Linked DNA regions of Rattus norvegicus. The protein of the gene in region 3 purifies or fractionates together with the protein of the main gene of each other region. This does not show direct contact. Links are inferred from orthologs where the notes say so. Each region holds a gene or a part of one and is shown on either strand. Other genes may lie near its edges. The genes, in order: Otud3, Cenpc, Pten and Usp10.

What was found.
Region 1: the proteins of Pten (region 3) and Otud3 purify together in Homo sapiens (affinity purification with western blotting; 3 studies listed by BioGRID and IntAct, with this or other methods). This does not show direct contact. The link is inferred for Rattus norvegicus from reciprocal best matches to the Homo sapiens genes PTEN and OTUD3.
Region 2: the proteins of Pten (region 3) and Cenpc purify together in Homo sapiens (affinity purification with western blotting; 3 studies listed by BioGRID, with this or other methods). This does not show direct contact. The link is inferred for Rattus norvegicus from reciprocal best matches to the Homo sapiens genes PTEN and CENPC.
Region 4: the proteins of Pten (region 3) and Usp10 purify together in Homo sapiens (affinity purification with western blotting; 4 studies listed by BioGRID, with this or other methods). This does not show direct contact. The link is inferred for Rattus norvegicus from reciprocal best matches to the Homo sapiens genes PTEN and USP10.

What each region holds. Positions count from the first base shown.
Region 1 is NC_086023.1:156,440,989-156,448,600, forward strand, and holds the start of Otud3 (OTU domain-containing protein 3), read right to left. Parts: upstream 4,354-7,612; coding exon 4,136-4,353; intron 86-4,135; coding exon 1-85.
Region 2 is NC_086032.1:22,375,085-22,382,150, reverse strand, and holds part of Cenpc (centromere protein C), read right to left. Parts: intron 4,335-7,066; coding exon 4,067-4,334; intron 3,513-4,066; coding exon 3,366-3,512; intron 2,160-3,365; coding exon 2,077-2,159; intron 1-2,076. UniProt on the Homo sapiens protein: Component of the CENPA-NAC (nucleosome-associated) complex, a complex that plays a central role in assembly of kinetochore proteins, mitotic progression and chromosome segregation.
Region 3 is NC_086019.1:240,104,119-240,111,184, forward strand, and holds the end of Pten (phosphatidylinositol 3,4,5-trisphosphate 3-phosphatase and dual-specificity protein phosphatase PTEN), read left to right. Parts: intron 1-917; coding exon 918-1,084; intron 1,085-3,517; coding exon 3,518-3,742; intron 3,743-5,710; coding exon 5,711-5,896; 3' UTR 5,897-6,212; downstream 6,213-7,066. UniProt on the Homo sapiens protein: Dual-specificity protein phosphatase, dephosphorylating tyrosine-, serine- and threonine-phosphorylated proteins.
Region 4 is NC_086037.1:64,915,001-64,922,066, forward strand, and holds part of Usp10 (ubiquitin carboxyl-terminal hydrolase 10), read left to right. Parts: intron 1-1,341; coding exon 1,342-1,519; intron 1,520-4,593; coding exon 4,594-4,759; intron 4,760-5,792; coding exon 5,793-5,937; intron 5,938-7,066. UniProt on the Homo sapiens protein: Hydrolase that can remove conjugated ubiquitin from target proteins such as p53/TP53, RPS2/us5, RPS3/us3, RPS10/eS10, BECN1, SNX3 and CFTR.

The DNA.
Region 1 (7,612 bases), on a different chromosome or scaffold from region 3:
GTAGTCCACGGTCTCCTGTCGGTGCTTCAGATGGTTCCGAGAATGGCCCTCCAACTGGTCGCCCAGCGCTCTGAACAGGCAATTGCTGTCAAAGCAAAGACACTGGTTAAGATCTTTCAAAAACTGACTGAGTTGATCTAACATGGCCGGCTGTCCTTAGGCTTAGGGGAAGAGACAGCCTGGCTCTTCAGACCAGAGGCTGAGGGGAAGTGCTCTAGGGCACACTCCAGCCTCATCACCCTCGTGAGAGGCAGCAAATCAGGTTTCTCGTCCCTGTTTACCAGCTCAAAAAAGAAAAAAGAAAAAAGAAATCAAGTTTCTCAGGGCCTCAGTGGGTTCGGGGGTGGAGTTGATAAGCAGCACCTCAATTCAGAGCACAGACCTCACGAATCACTCCAGGCCTAAGGTCTAAAACTGCCATTACGATGTCACACCCACCAATACCTTTTGAACCAAGCCTCACTAAAACTTCCCAGCTAGACATCACTCACTGAGTCGCTAAGCGGCAAAAACAGCAGAAGCCTGCACCTGTCCAAGCTAAGAGCACAGTGGCAGGAGTCGAGGAAGAAGCACCTGAACAGGCCGGAAAAGACACAACCCCAAACTCGCTCACCTCGTCAGAAGGGAACAACAAGGCCACTGTTACACATCTAATCTGTTCTCTAAAATTAAACAGGGCTAGTGAGATGGCCCGTGGGAAAAGTGTTGGGTCCAAGACGCAAACCCAGGCAACCTGACCTGGCTCTCGCCATGGCTCTCCCAAACATTAACACCAAATGTTAGCTGGACTTAACCTGCGTACAAGTAACAGTTTTTATCTGCCAGCCTTTACTTGAGCCCACTAAAGACAAGTCAGACACAGTGCAATAACGTGTTTTCCTGATGGGATTATAAGGCAGCGACAGAGGAAACATAACAAACACTACAGCAACCTGGGTTCCCTTAGGAAGCCCTGGAAACACACTGCAGATGCCACCAAGCCTAGCGCCGTGGCCCTCGGGGCCTCCCGGAGATCCAGCTGGTCCCTGAGTTCATGATCTCGCCATCGCAGGGCAACCAGGCTGCTCGGTGCCCACACTATGGACGTCTGAGGTCAGTCTGTGTTGGGAGGAATATCTTGCTAACTGTTGATCCTTGGGAACATCCTTGGCCTGTGGGCACAGATGGCAGGACCACCTCCCTCCTCAGCAGCTGTGACAACCAACAGCGTCTCCAGGCAGTCCAGTTGTCTCCTGGGAGGCAAAACCGTCCCTGCCTGAGAACCACTGCACTTTAGGGATACAGAGATGTAAGGTCCTGCATTAGAAAAACAACCAATTACAGAACACTTCAAGGAGCATGCCTGTAGCAAGTCACCATCTTGAACACTTCAAGGAGCATGCCTATCGCAAGTCAACATTTTACACCTTTCAAAACAGAGACAGTAAAAATTGGTAACTATTTTTTTGTATTAGCAACAGCACTATATCTTAACCAACACTACTCAGCAAATAACACATGAAATAGTCTGCTAGTCTGGCAGTGCTGGCACACGCTTTTTCCCCAGCACTCGGGGGGCAGCGGCAGGTGATCTGAATCCGAGGCCACCTGGTCTACAGAGTGCACTCCAGGGTAGCCAGAGCCACGAAGAGAAACCCCATCTAGAAGAAAAGAAAGATCTGTGACCCTTCCAAACCACCACCTACACAGAAAACGCCATTCACTGCGACAACTGATGGAAATAACATACAAAACTAGACCAGCAAAGCCAGCCCCGGGATGTCACCCCAGCAAAGGTTTGTACCCAGCATGGAGCCACCTAACAATGCCAGACAACAGACTGGGAGGTGGGCTCTGCCCCTCACTTCCCTGTACTCCTACCCTGACTGAACTGTGTTCCCATTCTACTGCAGCACTCGGAGCTATCGGACACACGTGCTCCTGGCCTGCCACCCGGCACTCATCCCTCTTGTTCCTTTGAACTGTTCCAGCATGGCTTCCTGTGAGAGAAACCTTATACATAGAAGTCGCTGGCTCTGTTGGCTAAGGGAGGAAAGGTCTTCCTTGGCACCTCAAAGCATGTCAGCCACTTCTTCTCAATAACACGACCATGGTCCCTTACTAAGAACATAACAGCCTCCTTTTCCCCCATATCTGCTCCCCAATTATAGCCCAGAGGCTATTAAAGCCTTGAGACCATTTCAGGGTATCCGTAAGCTCAAAACAAAGGCCTCGCTCTAACTTCTTCATCCTTGCTCTCTCATAAGTATACTGTAGTTCTCAAGAGCCTGCCAGCTCACTGGGCAAGGTAGTGCAGTGGCCTTAAATCCCAGCACTCAGGAGACAGAGGCAGGTGGATTTCTCTAAGTTTGAATTGGTCTACAAGTGGTGAATTCCAGGACAGCCAGAGCTACATAAAGAAATCTTGCCTGACTTTAAAAAATTAAAAAAAAAAAAAGCTACTATCTCAAAGCATGATGACTAATGGGTTCACGTCTGTTCACTCCTGTGTCTTTAAATTATGAATATGGTTAATACTGAGCTATGGCTCATACAATGTGTGTATGCCTGCTTATTCCTCAGCAATTTTTCAGAATACAAAAGGGCCCCCAAACCAAAATATAATACTGTGAACCCTACAGTATTATACAGCTACAGTTTCTCATTGTCATCTTGTTCCCAGCACGCCCGTGCTAGCAATCTATGAGGATTAACTGAAGAAGTCTGCTCCCCGAGGGGAAGAAGGACAAAAGGAACACTCCCAAAGTTGCTCAGAACCTCACGTAAACCTCATGGAAGTCCAAGTCTGCTTTGTTGCTCTTGAGCAACTGTGGAGTTCCCATTTCCCCAGCCTATTTCTTTGACACCAAGAAACCATACTCAGTCTGACAGATACAACGTAACCATTTGCAAAGACGGTCACACCTGGGTCCACTGCATTCAACTTTGACGCTTTTGTTTTGTTTTTCAAGACAAGGTTTCTGTGTGTGACCACCCCAGCTCAAATTCAGAGATCTACTGCCTCTGCCTCCCCAGTGCAGGGAATAAAGACGTGCGCCACCTCGCCACCTCGCCCGGCTTCACTTGATGGTTTGATGTCTATAGCAGTTTGTGCTTCTACTGGAGCTAGGTGGCCTCCCCGGACAGTTTTTAATCCCTGAAAAACAAAAGCATCCTGAATGCCTTCTATGACCCAGGCACTGTTCCGGTTGGTAGCTGAATACAATTAAATTCTAATTGCAACTTAAGCAAAACACCTATCCAATTTGTCTGAAGCTCTGAAGGCAGGAGAGACAAATGGGATTAACTTATTGAATCTCGATCAATAAAAGTCAACGTAATATGAAATGAAGAAAACACTTTATGTAGGGGTCGGAGGCACACACCTTTAATCCCAGCAGACGCTATGAGTTTAAGGGCAACCTGGTCTACACGGGATTCCAGGCCAGCCAAGACTACATAGGGAGCCTCTTTCTCAAAGGGGAAAAAGAGGGGAAGAAGAGAAGAAAGAACAAGAGAGAAGAGCGAGAACACAGGAACAAAGGAACTTTCCCCAATTTCTAACTAAGGCTGTCGAGCTTTCTTTGGTTTTGTTCTGTTTTTTGAAACCCTGTCGCATCAACTCTTCCACAGCTCAACCTGACCGTTCATCGCGAACACAGTAACAGTGCCTCTTGCAACAACACACTTAGCAGCCAGTTCCTCTCCACGGTTTCCTGTCTACACCACGCTCCTGGACACACGTCCGCGTTCCATTAAGTTGCTTTCCCTCACCTTCCTCCGTTCCCAGTTTCCAGCTGCCACTCTTCTATCGTGTTTCCCGAAACAGCTGGCCGGGGACTCTCATTCCTTTTACTTGGGGAACCCAAAGCATGGACAGCAAACACTGGGGAAGCTACCTTCAGCTCTCCGCCCTCGTTACCCCTGTGCTGAAGGGGGCGATGACACCCAGGAAGGCCAGCATGACACCGAGTGGGACCGAGGTCCCTTCCCATTCGGCTTCATGACAGCTGCACCTCGAGGTCACCTCTCAGACCGGCTCGGACATTCGGGGGACCCTGCTGCAGCCTTCCACCAAGCCTGGCCCCTGCTTCCCTCTCGGAGACCGGCCCTGCGCATCCCCAGCGCCGCTTCCCGCACTCCCGGCCCGCCTCACCCGTCCCCCGGCACCTCCCGCAGCTTCAGTCCCAGGGCCTGCAGTTGGTTGGCGAAGCTCACAAACTCTTCTTCGCAGCCGCTGCTGCCAGGCTCCGGCCGGTTCCGCCGCTCCTTGGCCAGCGCCCGGCGCGCTGCCCGCTCGTCCCGCTTGCGCTCCGCCTCGGCTCTGCGGCCGCCGCTGCCCGGCCGGCTCTTCGCCGCTTGCTTTCGGGACATGGCTGCGGCACACGGCTCGCCGCGGAAGGAGCCGGAGCCGCAGAGCGCGGGGCCGCAGCCTCAGCCGGCCACCCGGCGGAGCGGCGTAAGGAGACGGCACCTGGCGACAGCGGCGCGGCCACTGCGCCGGCGCGGTCGCCTGGCACCCAGGTCACGTGGCGATAGCTCCGCCCCCGGGGGGGCCGGACCAGCAGGCACCATAGAGAAAGATACGAGGGCTAGAGAAGCAACTGTCTTGGTTGGGTCTCTTCTGCCACCTCGTGGTGGGTAGTGCTCAGTGAGGCGCCGTAGGACCAGACAGGGAAGGTCAAGGATGGCTGAGGATGTCAGAAGAGAGGCAAGAACAAATGCAAAAATTCAAAAAAGATGGAAATCAAGACGGGTGATGAGGAAATATGCTTGTTTAGAATGCACAAATCCGAGTTCAAATACAAGCGCGCGCGTGCGTGCGCAGACCCTTTAAAAACTGAGCCAGGGAGATAACTCAGTCCATATAAGTGCGTGCTCCACATGCCAAGTTCGACCGGAGTTCGGATCCCCACCACTCAGTTTAAGAAGGGTGGGCATGTCAGCGAGCCCCTGTGATCCCATCACTGAGGAATCAGAGACAGTCGACCGCACTCGCTGGCCAGCCAGTTTAGCCAATCAGTGAGCTACAAGTTGGCTTACACTTCCAGATCACAATCATTGGAGGCAGTCAGGACAGGAGCTCAAGCAAGGGCTGGAACCTGGAGGCAGGAGCTGATACAGAGGACATTGAAGGTGCTGCTTACTGGCTTACTTCCCCTGGCTTGCTCACTGTTGTGTTTTATAAAACAGCGCTATAATGCGGCCGAAGGGAACACCTCAGTGGGCCCAAGCCGAGGTGTTCCTCTGAGGAATCACTACCATGCCACAGGCCTAGAACAAAAGGAAGTTCATTGAGGGAAGAGAAGGGAACCTGGGAAAGGGGTAGAGACAGAGAAAGGAGGGGGACAGAGAAGGACAGAAAGGGAAGAGAGAGAGGGGAAGCGAGGTAGAGACCGGTCAGGGACATGAGAGAAAGAGAATGTGGTAACTGGTGGTCTTCGAACTTAGCTGGTGGAGATGCAAAACTGTTGCTAGGTAGTGTTGGGCGGAGCCCAGAGGAACTGCTAACACTCAACCTGCTTTCTTATAGAATCCGGGACTACCCTCCGAGGGATGGCGCCACCCACAATGGGCTGGACCCTCCCCATTGATCACTAATTGAGAAAAGCCCTACAACCTCATGGAGGGATTTCCTCAACTGAGGAAGCCAAATAAACCTTTTCCTCCCCAACTTGCTTTTTGGTCATGATGTTTCCTCACAGCAATAAAACCCTAAGACACCCTGTCACAAGAAATAAGATGGACCACGAACTCATTCTGCCTATGGTTACCCACATAAAATATCAAGTCAACAAGGTCAGTCACCATCTCAACGGGAAGCACTAATTTAATGGATTATTTAAAAAAAAGAGAGAGAGAGAGAGAGAGAGAGGAGGGGACATGAAGGGGGGATGCCATAGAGAACACCGGGAGAGTGGGAGAGAGGAGCTGAGAATGTATAAAATCAAATGCATTTTTTACATGTATGAAATTGTCAAAGGTGAGGTACAGGGCTGGAGAGAGGGCTCAGTGGTTAAAGGCCCTTGTGATTCTTTTTTTTTTTTTTTTTTTTTTTTTCGGAACTGGGGACCGAACCCAGGGCCTTGCACTTGCTAGGCAAGCGCTCTACCACTGAGCTAAATCCCCAATCCCGGCCCTTGTGATTCTTACATAGCGTATCTGGATTCAGTTCCCAGAATGTAAGGGTGCTTCACAGCCATCTGTAACTCCAGTTTTAGGGGAGTTGGTGCTCTCCTTTGACCTGCACAGCCTCTGCATGCACACACACACACACACACACACACACACACACACACACACACAAGCAGAGAGAGACACACACACACGGTGAGCCCTCCTTGAGAGAGATGCTTCTGTGTGTCTCTGTTTTTTGTTTGTTTGGTTGGTTGGTTTTTGGTTTTTTGTTTGGTTTTTATATAGGAACTTCGACTCCAAAAGTTAAGTAACTATAAGGGCCACACAATTGAGAAGCAAAGCTTCACTCTGACTCTAGAGCCCAGATGTTCTGTTACTCCTGTCCTTCCCCTGTAAGCCAAAAGAGAGAGAGAGAGCAAAAAAGAGCCCTTCTGTCCAATAATCGGGGATCTCATTCCAGGATGACCTGGACTGGTAGACCTGGACTGAAGCTATTCCTGGGATACACAATTTTCTGTTTCAAACTGAGAGTGTGAGAAAAACCTGGACAGTTGTTTACCGTAAGCCATGCGTGCTCATTAGGGTGTTAAGGGACCGGTAATTATGTCTCTCTCATTCTGGCTCCCTTTGTCTGAAGCACTCTCCTTCCGCAGTAATGTCACTGCCTTCCCTTTTTGGACCTTCTATCCAACTGTGGTCTTTTATTACCTATCCTGGGAACACTAGGCAAGCATGGGAACTCCTGCTTAGAACCCCAGCACTGGGGGAGGCTAAGGCAGGAGAGTCTGTGGTGTTGAGCCCAACCTGGGCTACAGAGTGTTACTGGGCTAGACTAAGCTAGATTAAGACCCTGTGTCATAAAATCAATACTAAGTAATGATTCCAATGAAGACCAAGTTGGAGCACCAACAAAATTTATTGGGGTGATTTATAGGAGTATAAATGAGGAATTACTTACAGAAGCAGGGATGTCCCAAAGGCCACATCACCAAAAGCCTGCCCCAGCCTAGATGCTTCAACTCAGAAAAGGTGCATCCCCAGATCTCTCTGGGTAGCTTGCGGGCAGTTAACCAGGTCAGAGAGTCTCCTCCACCTGCTTCCATAAACTGGTCTTTAGGAACTTCCTGAGACTCCTAAGTTGTCCACTTCCTGAGTCTCATGAGGCTCCATTTGGAAAGAATGTTTCAGTTGAGAGGAGATAGAAAGAGAGAGACATGGTCCTTGACTACAGAGAGCCAAAAATCCGAAGGTTTTATTATAAACAAGGATGCAGTAGTGACAAGACAAATGCTACTAGGAAGATGTGTGTGATATCAGGGGGCGAAAGAAGTGCAAAGATCCAAAACGACTTCTCAGAAGAGAAAATTCTCAGTAGGAGCTTCGAGGATAAGTGTAGGTGGCCCAGAGCGGACACTCAGGAATGTCCAGCACCACACCTGGGCTTTAAGGAGCTGAAGGCACGTGAGGCTTGAGCCTTAAGGTGGGAGATGGAAGG
Region 2 (7,066 bases), on a different chromosome or scaffold from region 3:
AACAAAAAGTAAACAGAAATATCAGAATTAACTGATCACAGACTTAACAGGTATCTACAGATTATTCTATCTAAACACAAAAGAATATGCATTCTACGTCGAATTTTCTCTAACAGAGATATCCTGGGACACAAACACACATACACACATACACACACACACACACACACACACACACACACACACACACACACACACAAACTCTTAACAGATTCCAAAAGATAGAAATAACTCTCTACAGCCTGTATGACCATGATGCAACAATAAAACTTAAAACAAACAGCAAACAAACTTCCAATAAACTAATGAAGAACAAAGACCTCATAACTGAATGATTGATGGGTCAAAGAAGAAATAAAAAAAAAAAAAAAAAACTTCTTGGAAGTAAATGAAAAGGAAACCATAACACAGCAAAACTGCTGGCTCACATTCACAGCAGTTCTGTGAAGGAAATGCCTTACATTATGAAATAAAAAAGCCTTCAAATATAACTTAAAGATGCAACTCAAAAAGTTAGAGGAACAAGAACAAGCCAAACCCAAACCCAGTCTATGGCCAGAAACAATAGAAATCAGAGCAGGAGTTAATGAAATACAAGCAAAGAAAACAAAACAAAGAATTAACAAATCCAGGAGCTGGGTCTCGGAGGGGAAAAACAAGATTGGCAGACCCCTGACCCAACTAGCCAAAAGAAAGGACCCAAACTAACAGAACCAGAATAGACAAGAAAACATAACAGAACCCAAAGAATGAAGAATACTATAAGCATATAATTTTAAAAGAACACTCCATTAAGCTGAAACATCTAAAAGAAATGACAAAACTAGCTTTATCCAAGGTGTATAACAAGGATTCTCTAGACTATGAGGGAAGCCACAAGCGCTGTTGCAGCGAACATCACCTCTCCTAATGTTCATCAGACCACTATCAAAAGAATACAGATGATCATAGTACTATCACACTAACCACTTTCAAATCCACGATTCTGTGTCCTCCACTCCCCCAAATATCTGCTCCTCCTCTCACAAGCCTCTGTCAGGTAAGAACAATACTATTGTCTCAGAAGCTTAGACCAACATCCTTAATGTCTTCCTAACACTTTTATTTCTTATAACCACCAATCTTATAACAAGCAATCAGTGACTCCTCTTGATCTGCCTTCCAAAATTTACTATCAATAGAACAAACACAAACACAGTCCAGCCAGCACCCACATTATAGGTCACGACCCCATCTGTTAACTCCAATTCCAGGGAATCCAATGCCCGTTTCTGACATCAAAAGTCACCAGTAACACATGTGGTGCAGACATCCAGGCAGGCAAAACACTCATTAACATAAAATAAATCCAAAATATTTAATACTTTAAAAATATGTTTTTAAAAGGACACATTACAAAATACTATGTAGGAAAAACTATTAAAAATTTTACTCAGGCAAATTCACTATTTCTTTACCAAATAAAAGGCAAAGAATATAGAAAGTATTAAAGTTTAAAAAGAAATACATAAATGTAAAAATGTAAAAAAAAAAGAATTAGTGAATTAGTAATAAAAAGATAGTATAACATTATATTCAAGCACCAAAAAACAAAAAACGTGTAAAACTGTATTGATTCACGAAAAGTCAAAATTATTTAAAATAGAGGAAAACTATATAATGAACCCAATTTATTGATCGCCTATCTCCATTAACAATCAACATGCAATTACTACTGCTTTAAGTACTTCCATATCAGCTTAACAAATTTGTCTATCTGTCCATCTATCCACCCATCCTGTTTCAGGAACTATTAGACACACATGCCAAGGAATGTCTGTGAAGAGCAGAGGACAATTTGTGGATCAATTCTCTCCATTTACTATGTGGATTCTAGGGAATTCAACTCAGGTCGTCAGGCTTGGTAGCAGATGCCTTTACCCATCTAGACCATTTCAACAAATCTCCAACTATAAAGTTGGAAGTAGGAAGTTAGGAGTAGATCCACATTTGCTACTACTGAAAATTTAAATAAGCACAGAATACTTTATACTCATAGTTCCTTAGAAACCAAGATAGTAGAAAATAATAACTTACCCAAACTCTTCTGGTCCTTTTCGTCACCCACTTCAGAATTACTGCGTCCAGGCATTTCAAGATTCTTGAACCTGGAAGGTCCACTTAAGAACAAAACAAATCTGTGCTTTATAATATGCATTTCTGTGTGTCTAAATGTCATGATCATGTTAAAACTACCATGTTTCTTTCTTAAGAAATTAAAAGTGATGCAGTAGATCATCAAGAATGAATTTCTGTGCAGTATAAAGCAAGGACTATGATTTGATCCCATAATTGAGTCAAATCTATCTAAATGAGATAAAGAGAGAGGGGTGGGGGGGCAAACAGACAGCTACTACAGGTTTAATTTCATTTTTTTGTAGACTGTCTCTTTAAAATTAGGATATGCTTGCTGGTTTCTCTTCTATTTGTAAAGGAATGTTGCTATTGGACTTGATTAAACTTATAACAAATCCATGAATTTAAAAGGTTCTAGCTAAGCTTGGTAGTATATGCCTACAATCCTAGCATTCGAAGGCAGGAAGATGGAAAATTCAAGGTCAGTTTAGGGTCCATAAGGAGGCCCAGGGCCCAAGCTACTTAACCTGTTCTCCTCTACGTAAGAATCATAGTCCCTCACACAGTAACGAACCTTCGTCTTCCCTTCAATGGCTGAGCAGTTGCTCTCACTTACTAGTCTGCCATTTCTAAAGTTTTTAACAGTTCATAGATAATACAAGTGGATTAATCTCACTTCTTCAGTGTTAGTAGATGTCTTAACAATAAATCCACAAATTCCTTGGCAATCTTCTTTTCAAAAGATAGAACCTCATTTCCCTTTTCTTGAATGTGGTCTGGACTTGTGATGACCTTAAGTCGTTAAAAGGCACTGATTTCCCTTATGGATACTTTCTTCCCTCAGACCATTTGCTTTGTAGGAAGTCAACTGCCACAAAACAGGAAACGAAGGTTGACTACCAAAAGACATCAAAGGACTGCAACCTACAGCCAACAGCCATGGGAAACATAAATGGATCCTCCAGTTGTAGTCAAGTCTTCAAAGGGATACAAAAGAGAAACACACCTCCAACCCTAACCCAGCTACCTAAGTCTTGCCCAAATTTCTGGCTCACACAGCTATAAAGTAATGCATGTTTGCAAGACAGCACCAAGAGTCACATGATATGTGGGAGTAACCTGGTACACTGAAGGGTAACTAGTGTACTGAGTGGCTTCTATTATCACTGCACTGTATACACACCTTTCTTCCCACACTGAAGGGGTAATAGTGACTGAGTGATTTCTTTATCACTGCACTGTATACACACCTTTCTTCCCACACTGAATGTTTACACACTTCCGAATTTGAAGTAGATTCCATTTGTGTCTTGCTTCTATGTTGCTCACTACGAGTCTTTAAATGAACATTCTGTGATATCATATCACTGTTTTGATCTTCAGAGCCTCTGGTAGGTCTATGAAAAAAAGTTTAAAATTATACTTTTCAAATTTATTTTCAAACATTCTCTCTTCTAGAAACAATATACAAATGATGATACAAGCAATATAAAATTGGCTATAGAAAGTATAGTTCATCATGTTCAGTTGTAAACTTAAGATTTAGAATCAGATTCAAGAAGGTATCTAGAGTTTACAAAGACTCCAAATTAAAAAACAAACAATCAAACAAACAAAAAACCAGACAGACAGACAGACAGAGAGAGAGGGAGAGAGAGAAAATACAAACCTGGGCTGAGACTAATAAGAAATGTGACACCAAGTGGCATTAATCTATGATATATACTATACAACTCAATACCTATCACTTCCAGTTCCCAAATGAGGAGCCAAGTTCAGGGTAGTAATGTATCTAAATGTCATCTAACTAACTGCAGAGCATAAATTTAAGAACAACTTTGTCAAAGTCCTTTATGCTTGCTCTTAGTGAATAATGCATAACAAAGCCAAACCACAAATTCTGTGTAAGAAAAAGAAAAGACAGCTATACTGTAAATAGAAGAAAAATTACCCAGAACAATGAAGGCTCTTCTGAGTTGGATCTGCGTCAATGTTTTGCAACGGCTTCCTCTGGGAAGTAGAAATATCATCATTTCCTCCAGAACCCTTTACATTTAAAGACTTCAGTTCTCTTGAGCTGATCTCTTTCTTCTTTCTTTTCGATGGAACAGGTTTCTTCTCAGTATTCTCAGATACGTGATTTCTCTTAGTCTGTTTTTTTCTATTTGGATATAAAATTGATGATTCATTCTCCTTTGAAGAATTTCCATCAACAGAACCTAAAAGATTCAACGACAATTTGAAATTACAATGTTTGTTCAAATGATCTGGCTCACTGAAATACCAGTGTCATTACATTTACATATAAATACACATACCAATTTTGTAAGTTAAATTTGTCTGCGCCCAGAGCTGAACCGGTCCCACAGCTCTCTCTACCCAAATCCCGTGGGGGAAAGAGCTGGACTCTCAGAAGTGCAGACAATCCTGAGAGCTCAGGGGAGACCACCACTTCTGCTGACATTCCTGGCCCAAGAGAAACTTGCCTACTGCCCTCAGGGACAGGACCCTTTCGGTTTCTGCCTGTGCCCAGAGCTGAAAGTTAGTCAACAGGGGCACTGACACACACGAGAGCAGAGGTAAAAATCAACTCTTCTGCTCTGACTGACCCTCCTGGAGACTTCAGGACACACAAACCCATTAGCAGTCTGGAACAGGACCCTTTCCAGTTTCTGCCTGTGCCTGGAGCTGTCCCACAGTATCTATACCCAGATCCGGCTGAAAGAAAACAGGTCTACAGGAGTGCTGACACACAGGCTTACAGGAGGGTCAAGCAACTGTCAGAGACAGCAAAACAAGCAAACACCAGAGACAACCTGATGGCGAGAGGCAAGTGCAGGAACCTAAGCAACAGAAATCAAGACTACTTGGCATCATAAGAGCCCAGTTCTCCCACCAAAGCAAATGCTGGATATCCAAATACACAAGAAAAGCAGGATTTGGATTTAAAGTCACATCTCATGATCATGACAGAGAAGGACATAAATAACTCCGTTAAAGAAATACAGGACAACACAGGTAAACAAGTAGAAGCCCTTAAAGAGTAAACACAAAAATTCCTGAAAGAATTACAGGAAAACATAAACAAACGGGAAAGAATTGAACAAAACCATCCAGGATTTAAAAACTGAAATAGAAACAATAAAGAAAATCACAAAGGGAGACAACCCTAGAGATAGAAAACCTAGTAAAGAGATCAGGAGTCATAGACACAAGCATCACCAACTGAATACAAGAGATAGAATAGAGGCAGAAGATACCATAGAAAACATTGACTAAACTGTCAAAGAAAATGTAAAATGCAAAAAGCTCCTAATCCAAAACATCCAGGAAATCCAGGACACAATGAGATAATCAAACTTACGGATAATAGGTATGGAAGAGAGTGAAGACTCCCAACTTAAAGGACCAGTAAATATCTTCAACAAAATCATAGAAGAAAACTTCCCTAACCTATAGAAAGAGATGCCCATGAACATACAAGAAGCCTGCAGAACTCCAAATAGATTGGACCAGAAAAGAAACTCCTCCCGTCACATATCAGTCAAAACACTAAACGCACAAAATAAAGAAAGAATATTAAAAGCAGTAAGGGAAAAAGGTCAAGTAACATATAAAGGCAGACCTATCAGAATCACACCAGACTTCTCACCAGAGACTATGAAAGTTAGAAGATCCTGGACAGATGTCATACAGACCCTAAGAGAACACAAATGCCAGCCCAGGCTACTATATCCAGCAAAACTCTCAATAAACATAAATGGAGAAACCAAACATTCCATGATGAAACCAAATTTACACAATATCTTTCTACAAATCCAACCCTACAAAGGATAATAGATGAAAACTTAAACACAAGAAGGGAAACTACACCCTACAAAAAGCAAGAAAGTAATCTCCTTACAACGAGCCCAAAAGAAGAGAGTCACACAAACATAATTCCACCTCTAACAACAAAAATAACAGGAAACAACAATCCCTATTCCATATCTCTTAACATCAATGAACTCAATTTCCCAATAAAAAGACAAAGACCTCAGAGACAAAGACAGACACTACATCAGAGTGAAAGGCTGGAAAACAACTTTCCAAGCAAATGGTCAGAAGAAGCAAGCTGGAGTAGCCATTCTAATATCGAATAAAATCGACTTTCAACCAAAAGTTATCAGAAAAGATAAGGAAGGACACTCCATATTCATCAAAGGAAAAATCCACCAAGATGAACTCTCAATGCTAAATATCTATGCTCCAAATACAAGGGCACCTACATACATAAAAGAAACCTTACTAAAGCTCAAAACACACATTGCACCTCACACAATAATAGTAGGAGATTTCAACACCCCACTCTCATCAATGGACAGATCATAGAAACAGAAATTAAACAGAGACATATAGAAACTAACAGCACTTATGAACCAAATGGATTTAACAGATATTTATAAACCATTTCATCCTAAAACAAAAGGATATACCTTCTTCTCAGCACCTCATGATACTTTCTCCAAAATTGACCATATAATCAGTCATAAAACAGGCCTCAACAGATACAGGAACATAGAAATAGTCCGATGCATTCCATCAGATCACAACGGACTAAGGCTGGTCTTCAGTAACAACAAAAACAACAGAAAGCCCACATATACATGGAAGTTGAACAACACTCTACTCAATGATAACTTGGTTGAGGAAGAAATAAAGAAAGAAATTAAAGACTTTTTAGAATTTCATGAAAATAAAGGTACAACATACCCAAACTTATGGGACACAATGAAAGCTGTGCTAAGAGTAAAAGTCCTAGCACTGAGGGCCTTGTAAAGGAAACTGGAGAGAGTATACATTAGTCCTAGACAGAGCAATCAGACAACAAAAGGAGGTCAAGGGGATACAGATTGGAAAGGAAGAAGTCAAAATATCACTATTTGTGGATGATATGATAGTATATTTAAGT
Region 3 (7,066 bases):
TTTCCTGTAGACATCTCCGGTATTTCGTTCTATTTCTCATGATTGTGACTTTGTAAATGTGGGCTCTTACACCCATGTGCATATGGGCGGCACACATTAGGCTCAGCGGGTTTCTCAAAAAGCAAAACCACAGAGGCCATGAAGTTGAGGGGGAAACTGAGGGGGGGGGGTGTATCCAGGAAGAGTTAGAGGGAGAAGTAGGAAGTGAATTGGATCAAAATTCACTGAATGCTTAATCTGAAATTCTCAAGGAATTAAAAAAATAATGTTAAAAACTATGTGGGGCTAGGTGGCAGTGGCACGTGCTTTTAAAAGTGCCGGCACTTGTGAGGCAGAGGCAGGGAGATCTCCATGAGTTGGAGGCCAGCCTGACTAGTTCCAGGACAGCCAGGGCTAAGCAGAAAAACCCTGTCTTAAAAAACCAAAACCAAACCAACCAAACACACAGAAACTTGTAGACTGGAGGTGAAAAGAGTGATGGTCAGTATTTTATATTTCTATAGTATAAAGGCTTAGGCTTATAGAGCTTATTAATATTTTTCATCTTTATGCAGTTCACAAAAGTCCCAGGAAATTGTTTATTTTATGCCTAAAGTAAGTTGTGATGAGTCTTTTGCGTTATGTTAATGTAAAGCTTTGATATTAATATGTTGCTAGAGTGTAGTCTTGGAATTACTGTTTATGAAGTAGCAATTGATTTTCATATGTGTAATAGAACTTTATTAAGGGTTCAAGTTGAAGAGGTCCTTACTTGGATTTTATTTTACTTATTTTATTTCTACTGATTTGTTTTAGATAAGCAGTCAGTGTGAAGAATTTTGTGTATATTTCTGATACTTTATCATTAAAACAGTTTGTGATAATTTGTGTGTTGAAGACATTTCTTGTGGAGTGACCGTCTGTATGTACCCATGTAGATCCCCAGTTTGTGGTCTGCCAGCTAAAGGTGAAGATCTACTCCTCCAACTCAGGACCCACGCGGCGGGAGGACAAGCTCATGTACTTTGAGTTCCCTCAGCCATTGCCTGTGTGTGGTGACATCAAAGTAGAGTTCTTCCACAAACAGAACAAGATGCTCAAAAAGGTCTGTACTTCAGTTCCTCTGTGTAGAAATAGCCATTCCTTCATGAGTAACCACAGCCCTTTTGCTTAGTGCCTTTGGTTAGGAGATTAGTTTGTAAGGAGAGCCTTTCTCTGCCATCCGCTGCGCTGATTCCTGCTTTGCTAACCATGCACACTCTGCTATTGTGGCCGAGCCGAGACTGTAAGCAGAGCCGCCTACCCCAACCTCGGGGTCAGCTCTCTGCTTTGTTCTGTGATCTTATGCGACACAAGCCATGTTTCACCCGATTAGGTTTATGTTTCTTGAGACTATAGACTATTTTATATTTTGTTTCCCCATATTTACTGAGTAAGTTTAGACAGTATTACTTAGTTGAAAGAAATAGCTATGAAGAAGAAATAATTAAAACAAAGCGGGGGAGGCTGATAGGTTAAACATCCATGTTTAGGATTGCTGAGGCCTGAGACAGACTTGAGAAAAGGCAAAAGCTCGGCTGTAGCGCCCTTGGTGTGAACATTTGTCCTTGGTTAGTATCCTTAGTTGAGTGTGAACATGAAAATGAGCCTTAAGGTGTAGAAGGCTTAGCTGGTAACAGAGGAAGAGCAACTATTTCAAAAATTAAGTATTTGGTTTTTTTCTCTCTCCTAGTTTGTTTGTTTGTTTGAGACTGGGTTCTCTGTGTAGTGCTAGCTGTCTTGGACTTGCTTTGTAGACAAGGCTGGTCTCCAGCTCAGAGATTACCTGCCTCTATATCCTGAGTTCTGGAATTGAAGGTGTATGCTGTCACTGCCCGATATCTCCGACTTCTTATCAGACCCTGGCTCACATACAGTTGTGTATGTGCGCGCACGCGAGCAGTGGATACGCCTTTTCCGTCCTTGTCATCTTTTGTCAGTGTTTGTTTGGAGACAGACTCTTACTTTGTAGCCCAAGCTGGTCTAGAACTCACTAAGTGGCCCGGGTAAAGCAGTCTTTTCACCTTAACTTCCCAAGTGCTGTGATCATAGGCATGAAGCACCTCTCTTGGCTTTATATTGTTTGTAAAAATAGATAATTACCTCAGTGTCTCCTTGTAGTTTTAGAGATGTGCTGTTTCTTACTCCTGATCTCTGAAGATTGGATACTTATAATATATTTATATATCTTAGATTACATTCCATAAATTTCCATTTATTATAGCTTTTCCTTACTAATTACATGCCTGTTCTGATTTAAATAAAAACAGTTTTAGAAAATCAGTGCACATCAGTGAGCCACATTTTGTAAGTTTAAATAATATTATCTTGTTTTCCTCTAAGTAAAATACAATTGCCAACTGAACAACATTAAAATAATTGAGATCAATAAGGTTTTAAAAAGGCTGAATACACGTCTCAGCAGTTAGGAGCCCTGGTTCCTAGCAGGGGGAGAGGGGATGGGATAGGGGTTTCTAGAGGACCCAGGTTTGATTCTCAGCACCTATATGTTGCCTTACAGTTATCTGTAACACCAGTCTTGGGGGATCTGAATCCCTCTCTGGCTTCCACGGGCACTGGGCATATCTGGGCAAAACTAAAGTTGTCATAGGGAACTTAGTCTAAAGTTTCTAGGGCTTCGGTTGTTAGTTTCTAGGGCTTTGGTTGTAATGACACCTGATCTTTGTTTATATCTATATACATATAAACTCAGAACATTTTTAAAATTCCGTATTAGAATAGGAAATAGTTTTCTTAGGATTTGGGATCCATCCCATATACAGTCACCAAATCCAGTCACTATTGCAGGTGCCAAGAAGTGCATGCTGACAGGGGCCTGATATAGCTGTCTCCTGAGAGGCTCTGGCAGAGCCTGACAAATACAGAGCTGGATGCTTGCAGCCAACCATTGGACTAAGCAGGGTTCCCCAATGGAGCAGTTAGAGATATGAAGGAGCTGAAGGGGTTGCAACCCCATAGGAAGAACAAAATATCAACCATCCAGACCCGCACAGAGATCCCAGGGACTAAACCGCCAACCAAAGATAGACAGACCCATGTCTCCAGCTGCATATGTAGCAGAGGATGGCCTTGTTGGGCATCAGTGGGAGTGGAGGCCCTTGGTCTTGTGAAGGCTCGATGCCCCAGTGTAGGGGAATGCCAGAGCAGGGAGGTAGGAAGGAGTGGGTGGGTGGGAGAGCACCCTCTTAGGAGCAGGGGGAGAGGGAATGGGAAAGGGGGTTTCTTGAGGGGAAACCAGGAAAGGGGATAACATTTGAAATGTAAATAAAGAAAATATCTAATAAAAGAAAAGATAAAAGAGATAAAAGTAAGATAACAGAGTTTACATGATTATTTTTTATTCATAACATAACTTAGTGAATAAGAATATTCCACAAGGTGTTTGCCTTCATTTTAGAATATGGTTTATATGTTGACTATTTGTGGTACATTTTTAAATAAGTGAAATACATCTTTCATTTCTTTCTTTTCTTTGTAGGACAAAATGTTTCACTTTTGGGTAAATACGTTCTTCATACCAGGACCAGAGGAAACCTCAGAAAAAGTGGAAAATGGAAGTCTTTGTGATCAGGAAATCGATAGCATTTGTAGTATAGAGCGTGCGGATAATGACAAGGAGTATCTTGTGCTCACCCTGACAAAAAATGATCTTGACAAAGCAAACAAAGACAAGGCCAACCGATACTTCTCTCCAAATTTTAAGGTCAGTTAAAAGCATTCTGGGGTGGGAGGGTGTGTTTTCTTCTGACTGAAGGTGAAGACCTAGGGTTGTTGTAGTGTTGTTTAGTGTGTACTCCCGAGAGGTTATGCAGCCTTTCCTTTCTGCTCATGAGTCCACTTATTCTCTCGCTATTTCTTCTCTCCCTCACCACCTTGAGTCTTCCCCTTTAAATTCTTTTTTCTTTCTTTTTTTTTTTCCCTTTTTTTTTTTTTTTTTTTTTTTTTTTTTTGGGTTCTTTTTTTTCGGAGCTGGGGACCGAACCCAGGGCCTTGGGCTTCCTAGGTAAGCGCTCTACCACTGAGCTAAATCCCCAGCCCTAAATTCTTTTTTCATTCTGTTGTATTTCTTTTATTCACATGTAACAAACTCAACTATAGATTATATTATTATAACATAATAACAATGCTAATAAAAATAGAGAATGACATTCACATGTTAAGTGAACTTAGACCTAATTAATATTTCAATGCCTTTGGATCTCGAGTATGTTTTTAAGTTGCCTTTAGAATCCTCATTTTTCATTTTTTCCTTTTCCACAAATTGATATTCCTATCAGCCATCCGCTTTCTGATTTTTTTAGGTAGGGTCTTGGTATAATGGGCACAGGCTGGGCTTGAACTGCCATGTCTCTGCCTCAGCCTCATCTGGCAACTATTTGCTTTTAAAATGTATTCCTCTCTAGTAAACATTACTGTTTTAATGTTTCTCCGGCAATGTACGTCAGTGCTTGCCTAACATGAGTGATGCTGAGTTCAACACCAAGTACTACAAAACAATCAATAAAACAGTACAGTGTAGAAAAGTTACTGTAGATAAAGACTGTTTTCATTGTCACTGAACAAACAGATAGATCAAGGTAAGTGCTGTGAAGCCGGCAGCCGGCAAAGGCGGTCTGGTCAGGTGGGTGGTGGGTGTGTAGAGAGGGCGAGCACAGAGTGAAGTGAGCACACTTACACCTGTGAGCTGTGCACAGCTTGCAGAGCAGCTATTTGGACAACAGAGGAAGAGTAGATAAGAGAATTGAGGCATGCGTGAACTTGGTACCTCTCTGTGGCATTCAGAAGTCATTTCTACTGAGTCGCAGGGACCCGGTCTTGGTGTGAAGGTGTGGGGTGCCGAGCACAGAGAAGATGTGGTCGGAGTTGGCTTTAACCGTCCACCTCACTTCCTGAGTCGAGCCTGGACCGAGAACTAGGGAGAGGCAGCGGGCTCGAAGTGGCAGGGAGAGACAATGTGAGCCTGATGGGTAGTGCACATAGAAGGCGGGCTCACGCAATGGCAGGAGCAGTGCTGAATGAGTAACTCACTTGGACGGGGATTCTTAAAGCAAGGGTCAGTTATGAGAACAACTGAAAATGACCTGAATAATGGAAAAGAAAGTGTAGATCTCCTGTCAACTGTTCACCAGAGATTGTCCTTTAGCATGTTGCCTGGACTTCTGGGTTTTTGTTGTTTCTTTTAAAATGGAAGTACTTAAGGAGTGACTAACAGTGACTGCAGCATGGAAAGGCCACTGGTCCATCTGCGGACCACTAAGTGGTCTGTTAGCTTCCTCCATTCTCTCTAGAGGAAGATTTTAGAGCTAGTTGATCTTGTATACATGATTATTAATCAGTATTGTGTGTGTCACTAGTGTAAACATGGAGTTGTTTCAGAGATTGTAAGAGAAATGCTTTTGAAACGTAAGCACTTGTAAATTGAATTTTGTGTTTAGTGAGTCCATTGCCTTCAGTTTGCACTTTTATAGAATTATACAGTGCTTATAGCTGATGTGGTTTAAAAATAGCTCTCAACTCATCAGTGTGTCTTTTGAGTGCACAGTAGGCAGTTTTAAGGTCAATTGAAAAGCAGTGCCCTTCAGAATTCATTTTGTTATAGTACTTTAAGTAAATCTGCAAAGCAGGATGCCATTCTAATTGTTCACTTTCCTCTTAAACTGTCTTTCTCTAGGTGAAATTATACTTTACAAAAACAGTAGAGGAACCATCAAATCCAGAGGCTAGCAGTTCAACTTCTGTGACTCCAGACGTTAGTGACAATGAACCTGATCATTATAGATATTCTGACACCACTGACTCTGATCCAGAGAATGAACCTTTTGATGAAGATCAGCATTCACAAATTACAAAAGTCTGATTTTTTTTTTCTTATCAAGAGGGATAAAATACCAAGAAAAAAAACTTGAATAAACTGAAATGGACCTTTTTTTTTTTTTTTTTAATGGCAATAGGACATTGTGTCAGATTGCAGTTATAGGAACAATTCTCTTCTCCTGACCAATCTTGTTTCACCCTATACATCCACAGGGTTTTGACACTTGTTGTCCAGTTAAAAAAGGTTGTGTAGCTGTGTCATGTATATACCTTTTTGTGTCAAAAGGACATTTAAAATTCAATTAGGATAAATAAAAGATGGCACTTTCCCATTTTATTCCAGTTTTATAAAACGTGGAGACAGACCGATGTGTATACGTAGGAGTTTTTCCTTTATTTTCTGTCACCAGCTGAAGTGGCTGAAAAGCTCTGATTCCCAGGTTCACGTCCTACCCCTTTGCATTTGTGGCAACAGATAAGTTTGCAGTTGGCTAAGAGAGGTTTCTGCAGGGTTTTGCTACATTCTAATGCATGTACTTGGGTTGGGAATAAAGGGAGTGCTCAGAAAGGAGCGTTCTAGCTGGCTCTGGACCACACATCTCCGGCTCTTTAGTGCTCCTTTCTTTAGCATGTTCCACTTACTAATCTGCACATCCGGGAGATGGCCACTGTCCTGCTGTCTGTCTGTGCGTTTTAAAGAGCATATTGGTGCTAGAAAAGGCAGCTAGAGTGAGTACATTTGTATTGGGGTACAGGAATGAACCATCTACAGCATCTTAAGAATCCACAAATGAAGGGATATAAAAATAAAGTGGTCATAGATAAGAGACACAGCAACAGTCACTTAACCATACAAATGTCGAGGCTTTCAACGAAGAACGGGCTGGAAACAGAAGATTTGACAATGATTTACTCAGTAAGCTTTCTCAGTTGTAATGACTGCTCCATCTCCTATGTAATCAAGGCCAGTGCTAAGAGTCAGATGCTATTAGTCCCTACATCAGTCAACAACTTACATTTATTTTTATTAATTTTCAATCATATACCTACTGTGGATGCTTCGTGTGCTGGCTGCCAGTTTCTTTTTCTCATTAAATATTTTTTAATTCTTCACAGGAAATTTCAACTTGAGATTCAACAGTAAGCAGGTTTTTTTTTTTTCCTAGAGATTGATGATGCGTCCTCAGTCCAGTGGCTGTCAGATGTCCCGCCC
Region 4 (7,066 bases), on a different chromosome or scaffold from region 3:
ACCGATAGCACTTAGCTACGTAGATAAGCAGCTACTTCCCGTTACCCAGCACAGTAGTGAGAAAGAGGCTCGGATTCCTGAGCTGTATCCCCTCGTGCAGCTTTGCTCCAGTTTTTACTTGAGAGAGAGGTTGAGGCCGTGGAAGGGTTTGCTCTGGCTTGGGTTCCGGAGGGGTAGCACCCCTTGCAGTGGATGGCATTGTGGCAAGCTAAATGACCACATTTCACCCACACACGGGGAGCAGAGGGGGGACAGAGAATAGAGCCAGGCCCTAAGCCCTCAGAACCAAGCCCCCTGTAATGTACTTCCCCAGCCTCTACTACTAAAGGCTCCATATCCTTCCTTCCTAGACAGTGCCACCAAGTGTTGAGCTCCAGAGCCCTTGGTCATTTCACATTCAAATGCCAGCGGCGACACAGGAAAACACAACACAGGGCTGGAGGCCCTGTGGGCACAGGCTCACTCCGGGGTACCCGCTTGTCTTAGGGGTGGGAAGTTGGAGGAAGCAGTTGAGATTTTGTCCTGTGCTGAGAGCGTCCTCTGAGGATGAAGCGTCTCACCCCGTGTCACTTTTACTACAGAGTGTCTTCAAATTTTTCCAGTTGTCCAAAGAATGTGAATGCCTCTGGTTTTTGAAACAAGGTCTTTCTCTGATGCTCTGGCTGGCCCAGAACTCTCTGTGCCCTGCCGCACTTGGCATTTCCAGAGCTTGGTGTCTGAGCATGGCTACCACACAGTGCTCACTGCAGCCCAGTGTCCAGAGTGGCTGGCTGCTTTAATTGCTTACCGTGACTTTAAGTGTAGAGCATAACTAGATCTTTTTATGTGTGTGGTTTTCTAGACAGGGTTTCTCTCTAGCCCTGGTTGTCCTGGAACTCACTCTGTAGACCAGGCTGGCCTTGAACTCACAGATCTGCCAGCCTCTGCCTCCCAAGTGCTAGGATTAAAGGTATGGGCCACCACTGCTTGACAACCTGTTTTGGTTTTGGGGTGTTTGTTTGCTTTTTGCATTTTTGTTGTTGTTATTTTGGTTCTTTTAGAGTGTGTGTGTGTGTGTGTGTGTGTGTGTGTGTGTACACGTATGTGTGTACACGTATGTATGTATACGTACGTATACTGGAGAGGGTGACAAGGTCAGGACAGTTTGTAGGAGGAGTCAGTTCTCTTCTTCATGTGGTCCCAGGAATCAAACTCACCTGTCAGGTCTGGAGAGCATGGCTTCGCCGGCTGAGCCTCTCAGCGGATCCTCATGAATCTGTTTAGCCAGTTCTCACAGAATTGCACTTGCTTGGATATTTTGTTTCTGAGGAAAGCTGACTCAGCAGATCCTCTTCTTTTCAGAGCACTCTGTTTCTAATGGGCCCGGAAGCCACTTGATAGAGGATGAGGAGCTGGAAGACACAGGCGAGGGCAGTGAGGACGAGTGGGAGCAAGTGGGTCCCAAGAACAAGACGTCTGTCACCCGGCAGGCGGATTTCGTTCAGACGCCTATCACTGGCATTTTCGGTGGACACATCAGGTTTGTGCTTTTCCATGTTCTCAAGGTGTGTGTGTGTGTGTGTGTGTGTGTGTGTGTGTGTGTGTGTGTGTGTGTGAGAGAGAGAGAGAGAGTGTGAGTGTCTGTATCCTTCCTCCTGCCATCTGCTTTGCCTGGCTTTCATTCGCTCTTCCTCAGGCCTGGCTCTCAGGGGCTGTGTGCCTCAGTGCCCCCAAGGGTGCTGGCCCATCACTTGAAGTCAGGAAGCCAAACTGACTTGATTGTTCTGGTAACAGAGACTCCTGTCCGACTGGAGGCATTGTATCACTGTACTTTTTATTAAGTGCATGTGTTAAAGTCTATAGAAGGATGTTATGCACACAGGTAGTGGAGTGTTGGCCATGGAAAACTGGTCAGCACAGAAACCCCGCTTCCATGGTGCCCCTCTCCCTGTCAGATGAAAGCAGCCGTGCTCTGCCCCTCCCCCCACCTCCGTATACCCGCGTACCCCGAGGGCTGATGCTTTGTGCCCTGTGTCCTGGACCTCCTGTTTTCTTCCCCCACATCACTGTGGTGACTTTGCTTTTAAATCTATAGCAGCGTGAGCACACATGGCTGTCCTGTGTCCAGCTCTGTTCATTTAGTATGATGTCTTCCAAGTCCATCCCTGTTCTGACGAATGTTAGGATCTCCTCTTCCAAGACTGAGTAATATTCCGTTACATATTCCCACCTAAGTGGCTTTATCCATGTGCTTTTTGATGGACACATAGACTGTTTATCTAGGAAATAACTGAATGGGTGAGACGGAATAGAGGCCAGAGCCTCATGAGCTAGAATGTGACAGGATCGGAGGGAGACACTGGCCCAGGAGGACATGTGACCTGGGGTCCTTCAGACAGCTTTCTGCTCGTTCATGACATCCTTCTGAAAGACTTTAGAGTTACTTCAGAAGCCCCGAGTTATCGTCTAAAGATGAGTCAGTGGGCTTCAATGGGTGCGATCTCCTGGATGCTGTATTGGAAACCAGTCTCTTCTCAGGCATCCAGTGCCAAATGAGTGAGTCCACTCAGTAGCAGACTGAGCTCCTTTCAGCAGAGTCTGCACTCCCTGCCTCAGAAGCTTCTCTTTGCTTCTGTGGCCCCCATGGGGAGGGCTGAGGACCCAGCTGAGCCACGCTGACATGGCACAGGCCCCCTTTTCCTCTGGTGTTCTTCATGGGGCTAATGGATCTGGTATGGTCTAGGAATCCCTGCCTACACGTCGCCACTGTGACTCATCTTGGCAGACACAGCCCCCCTGAGTCGAGCCACGGTGGAGGAATAAATAGGCAGGTCGGTGAGCAACAGAGGAACGAAGCTACCCTCTGCTGCTCTTGCCATCCAGCCCCGAGTTAGGAGTCAGGGCAGTGAGGGACAGCAGACTACAGGCTGCCACAGCACACTGCACTAAGGGGCAACATGGGCTGTTTCCCTAAGGGTGACAGCAGAGAAGAAGCCAGGCTGCCCTTCTCACCTCAGCCTCTGTGCTGGCCCTGGCTTCAGTAGCTTCCGTGAGGTTTTTCTGGTCAACTTCATGGTTTTTTCAAAGAACAAAAGCAGAGATAAGAAATTATTATTTTCATTTTATTCAGGGTCTCATGTATGCCAGACTGTCCTTACACTCAACGGTAGGTGTGGCCACAGCCAAGGATGATTTTGAGAATTTTAGTCATCCTTGCTCTCCCACCTCCCAAGTGCTGGGATTACAGGGGCATGCAGCCTACCCTAGCTTATGAGGTGCTGAGGTTAGAACCCAGCATCATGGGCACCAGCAAGCACGGTCCATCCCAGCAGCACCCTGGGCCTAGGCAAGGAGTTCTTTCCAGTTTTGTTTTGTTTATCTAAGGCAAGGTCTCTACTGCCCGTGTTGGCCTAAACTCATGGCAGTCCTCCTGCTTCAGCCTTCTGAGCACCCAGCTAATGAGGACTTCGGATGACCTGATGACTTGAACTGCATTTCAGACAGAATTAGAGTCTTCATTCTGACCAGGGACGGCCCCAAGTCACTGTCTTTCTGCAGTTTTTAGTTTCCCTAGAGAGACCCTTTTTTGGGGGGAGGGGGTGGTCCTTTTCTGATGAATGAAAGGTTTTGGAGTCAAGAGGGTCTTGATTTCTGCACTTACTTTTTTTTTTTTTTTTTTTTAAGATGGTTCCTCTGTGTAGCTCTGGTTGTCCTGGAACTCACTCTGTAGACAAGGCTGACCTTGAACTCAGAGATCTGTCCGCCTCTACTGCCCCAGGGCTGGGATCGGAGGAGTGCGCCACCCCACCCTGCTTTAATTTCATTGATGCTGTTCAACTTCCTTTTGGGAACCCTAGGAGTGTCAGTCATTGCCTGGCACTCTGGAGGAAGGCTGGGGCATTGGACTCTGAAAGGGTCTCGGCTGGGTGCCTATCTGTCCCTTTAAGTTGGAGTTTCCTCCCACAGCTCTGCTTTGCTCATAAACTAGGACTCAGGCTGCTTTGTTGAGTCTCAGAACGTTCCCTGGATGAGGTTAAGTGAGAGATGAGACATACTTATGGTTTTTATTCAGAACTGAGGAAAAGAAAGATGAATTAAAAAAAGTAAGAAAACAAGGTTGAGTGCCTTAGCTGCGAGGCTGCTCACCTCTCTTCCCGGATCGCTAACGTGGTTTTTATCCTTAGCTTGTTACCCTTCCTCCTCCTGATGTTTTTATAGCAGGAGAGCAGCCTTAAAAGTCCTGCTCCCCTGGGGATCCCCCCACGTCCCCATTTCACTAGAACAGGCTGTGACACTTAGTTAAACACTCCCCATCCCACTCTGCTTGAGTTTGTTAGCTGGTGCGTGCTGTGCTCTGCTGTGCAAGTGAAGAGTTTGGAAGTCGAAGCCCCTCAGCCAAGCCGGGAGAATGTGCAGATCAATTGCTAATCACAGGGTCTGGTAGTCAGCGGAGTTATTTTTAAATTCAGGGTGGTTTTGGCTGTTCTGTTGTCCCTGGTCCTGTGATACTGAGTAAACGTACTTGAGTATTGATTCCTTCTCTGTCAGTTAATCTTAAGGGAAAATGACAGACAGTGGCCTCTTACTCTTCTGTGTTTTCCGTTGCATTTTTAGGTCTGTGGTTTACCAGCAGAGTTCCAAAGAATCTGCCACGCTGCAGCCATTTTTCACACTGCAGTTGGACATCCAGTCCGACAAGATTCGCACAGTCCAGGATGCCTTGGAAAGCTTGGTGGCAAGAGAGTCTGTCCAGGGCTACACCACCAAGACCAAGCAGGAGGTATGCTCCCGCACAGCTGACCAGGAGCCTTCTAGATGCTTGGACGCTGACTTGAGTCCGCCTCTCACGCAGTTGCTTTACTGAGAAGCCCCGGGTTGTCAGGAAGGAGCGGTTGAACCATATGGCCCCCCAGCTGCTCTGCAGCTCTGGCTCTCGTGACTGAGGGAATTATCTCCCTTCTGCCCTTGACCCTGCTCCGTGTCTCCTTTCCTCAGTCCACCTGGTGTCTGCAGCCAGCCTACCTCCAGCAGAAGAGTTAGGATGTGAAGGGAGTTCCAGGCACGTCTGTGTTGCAAAAGCATTGATCATTAGGGACAGTCAGGCGACTATTCAGTGTGATGACGAGGATAAAGTCTTGAGTGTCCCGTCCTGGACAGTTAGGAGCTGGCCTTGTTGTTGTGGAGAGGCTGTTGTCTGGCTCTCAGTGGCCTGCTCTTCTGCTCTGCGGGGAGGCCGTCTTGTCTCTCAGGTCTTTTGCAGACTGGCATTGAGGTCACAAGGCAGGATGAATGCTGGGTAGTTAGGGTGGCGCTTTTCTGAAGAGTTCGTGGTACTGGAAAGCTGTGAACAGTGGAGTGCAGAGGCTACAGGGTCAAGTAAGGAGTGAGCAACTGAAGATACATTTGGTGGAGAAAACCAAAAGAAACCCTAACACCAGGCGTAGCCGGGAACAGTTGCAGGTGGGCAGAGAGACTCATCCTGCAGCAGGGCCGTCCGCAATCTTCCGACTTACACTGCATTAAGTTTCATTGTTGGTGCTGCTTTAGGATGTTTTAAAAGATTCAGGAGCCTTGAAAGCACTAAAGGGACGCAGGCTGGTCATGCCAGCTCCAGCCGTTCTGCACTCAGCTTGTCTTTCCGGCCATTGTGTCGCCACATAGCCAAAGACTTCGCTTGGAGGCCACAGATGGGCTCCTTACAGGGGTCCATGGGGGTACAGGCATGGCTGGGGAGCTGTTGGGAGTTGCTGTGGAAGCCCACAGGGGGGCTGCTGCAGCCAGGCGGGCCTGTGACCCAGGCTACTTTGTCCCAGGTTGAAGTCAGCCGTAGAGTGACTCTGGAGAAGCTTCCCCCTGTCCTTGTGCTCCACCTGAAGCGCTTCGTCTATGAGAAGACGGGCGGATGCCAGAAGCTCGTCAAGAACATCGAGTACCCTGTGGACTTGGAGATCAGCAGAGGTAATGCCGGCCTGTGCCTGCTGCAGTCCCCACAGCCTGTCACCGCCTGGTCACCAGTTAGGACTCTTTGTTTTAGCTTTATTGACATTTGTGGGTCTCTATACTGAATGCTCGCCAAGGTGGCTTCCTTAGTTTTAACTTTGACTTAGGGATGGTTTGCCGGTATGGAGTGTGCACTGTGTGCTTGGCGGACTACAGAGGCCCAAAGGGGCGTTGGCCTTACAGGTGGCTGCCAGCTACTGTGTTGGTGCTGGGCTCAAACCCAAGTTCTCTGAAAGAGTAGCCAGTGCTCCTAACCACTGAGCCATTATATTTTGTTTTTGTTTTAAGGCAGGGTCTCGGTATGAAGTGCTGGCTGGCCTGGAGCTCTCTATATAGACCAGGCTGGCCATGCACTCTTATTACAGCGATTTGCCTGGTGCAAATACAGGAAGGAGATGTAATGTGACTGGATCAGAAAAGCAGGAGAGCAGCCGGGGCTGGCTGGGGATGCCCTCCCCCACAGCGACATGGTGCCTGTGCAGAAATGTGCTGGCTACTGCTTTCTGTGGCTTCTGTGTCGTGTCAGAGGGAGACCACATACCTGCCTGGTGCCTGCAGGGGCAGCCAGTGCTCCAGCCACTGAGGCGTCTGTCTCACTAGCTCTGACAGCCTGTTCTGAAGAGCCCTAAGAGACAGGTTGAAGGAAACCTGTTTTTTTGTTTGTTTTAAGGTTTGTTTTACGGTATGTGTGATTTGTATGTACAGGTAGGCGTGCATGCCACAGCACATGTGTGTTGTTGGCTTAGGAGGTCAGAGCTCACCTTTAATTATGTCCTGGCCTTCATGTGGAAATCAGATGGCACCTTGTAGGAGTAGGTTCTCTCTCTCCACCATGTGGGTGAACATCTTAGATTGTACGCCGGAGTGTGGCAAGGCCAGGCAGTCTACAGAACACAGAGATCTGGGAAAGAAAAAGACAGCGGTGTCTTGCTCTGATCTTGGAGAGAGATCCTCTTGGGTCTGTTCCTCCTGTCCCAGCCCTGCATACCCCGGTTCCTGTCTCCTGTGGCTGTGAGAACCTTCGGGTTCACTTCTCACACCGCTCTGGGCCATGCCTGCTGACCCTCGAAGTGGGATGGGTGTTTTT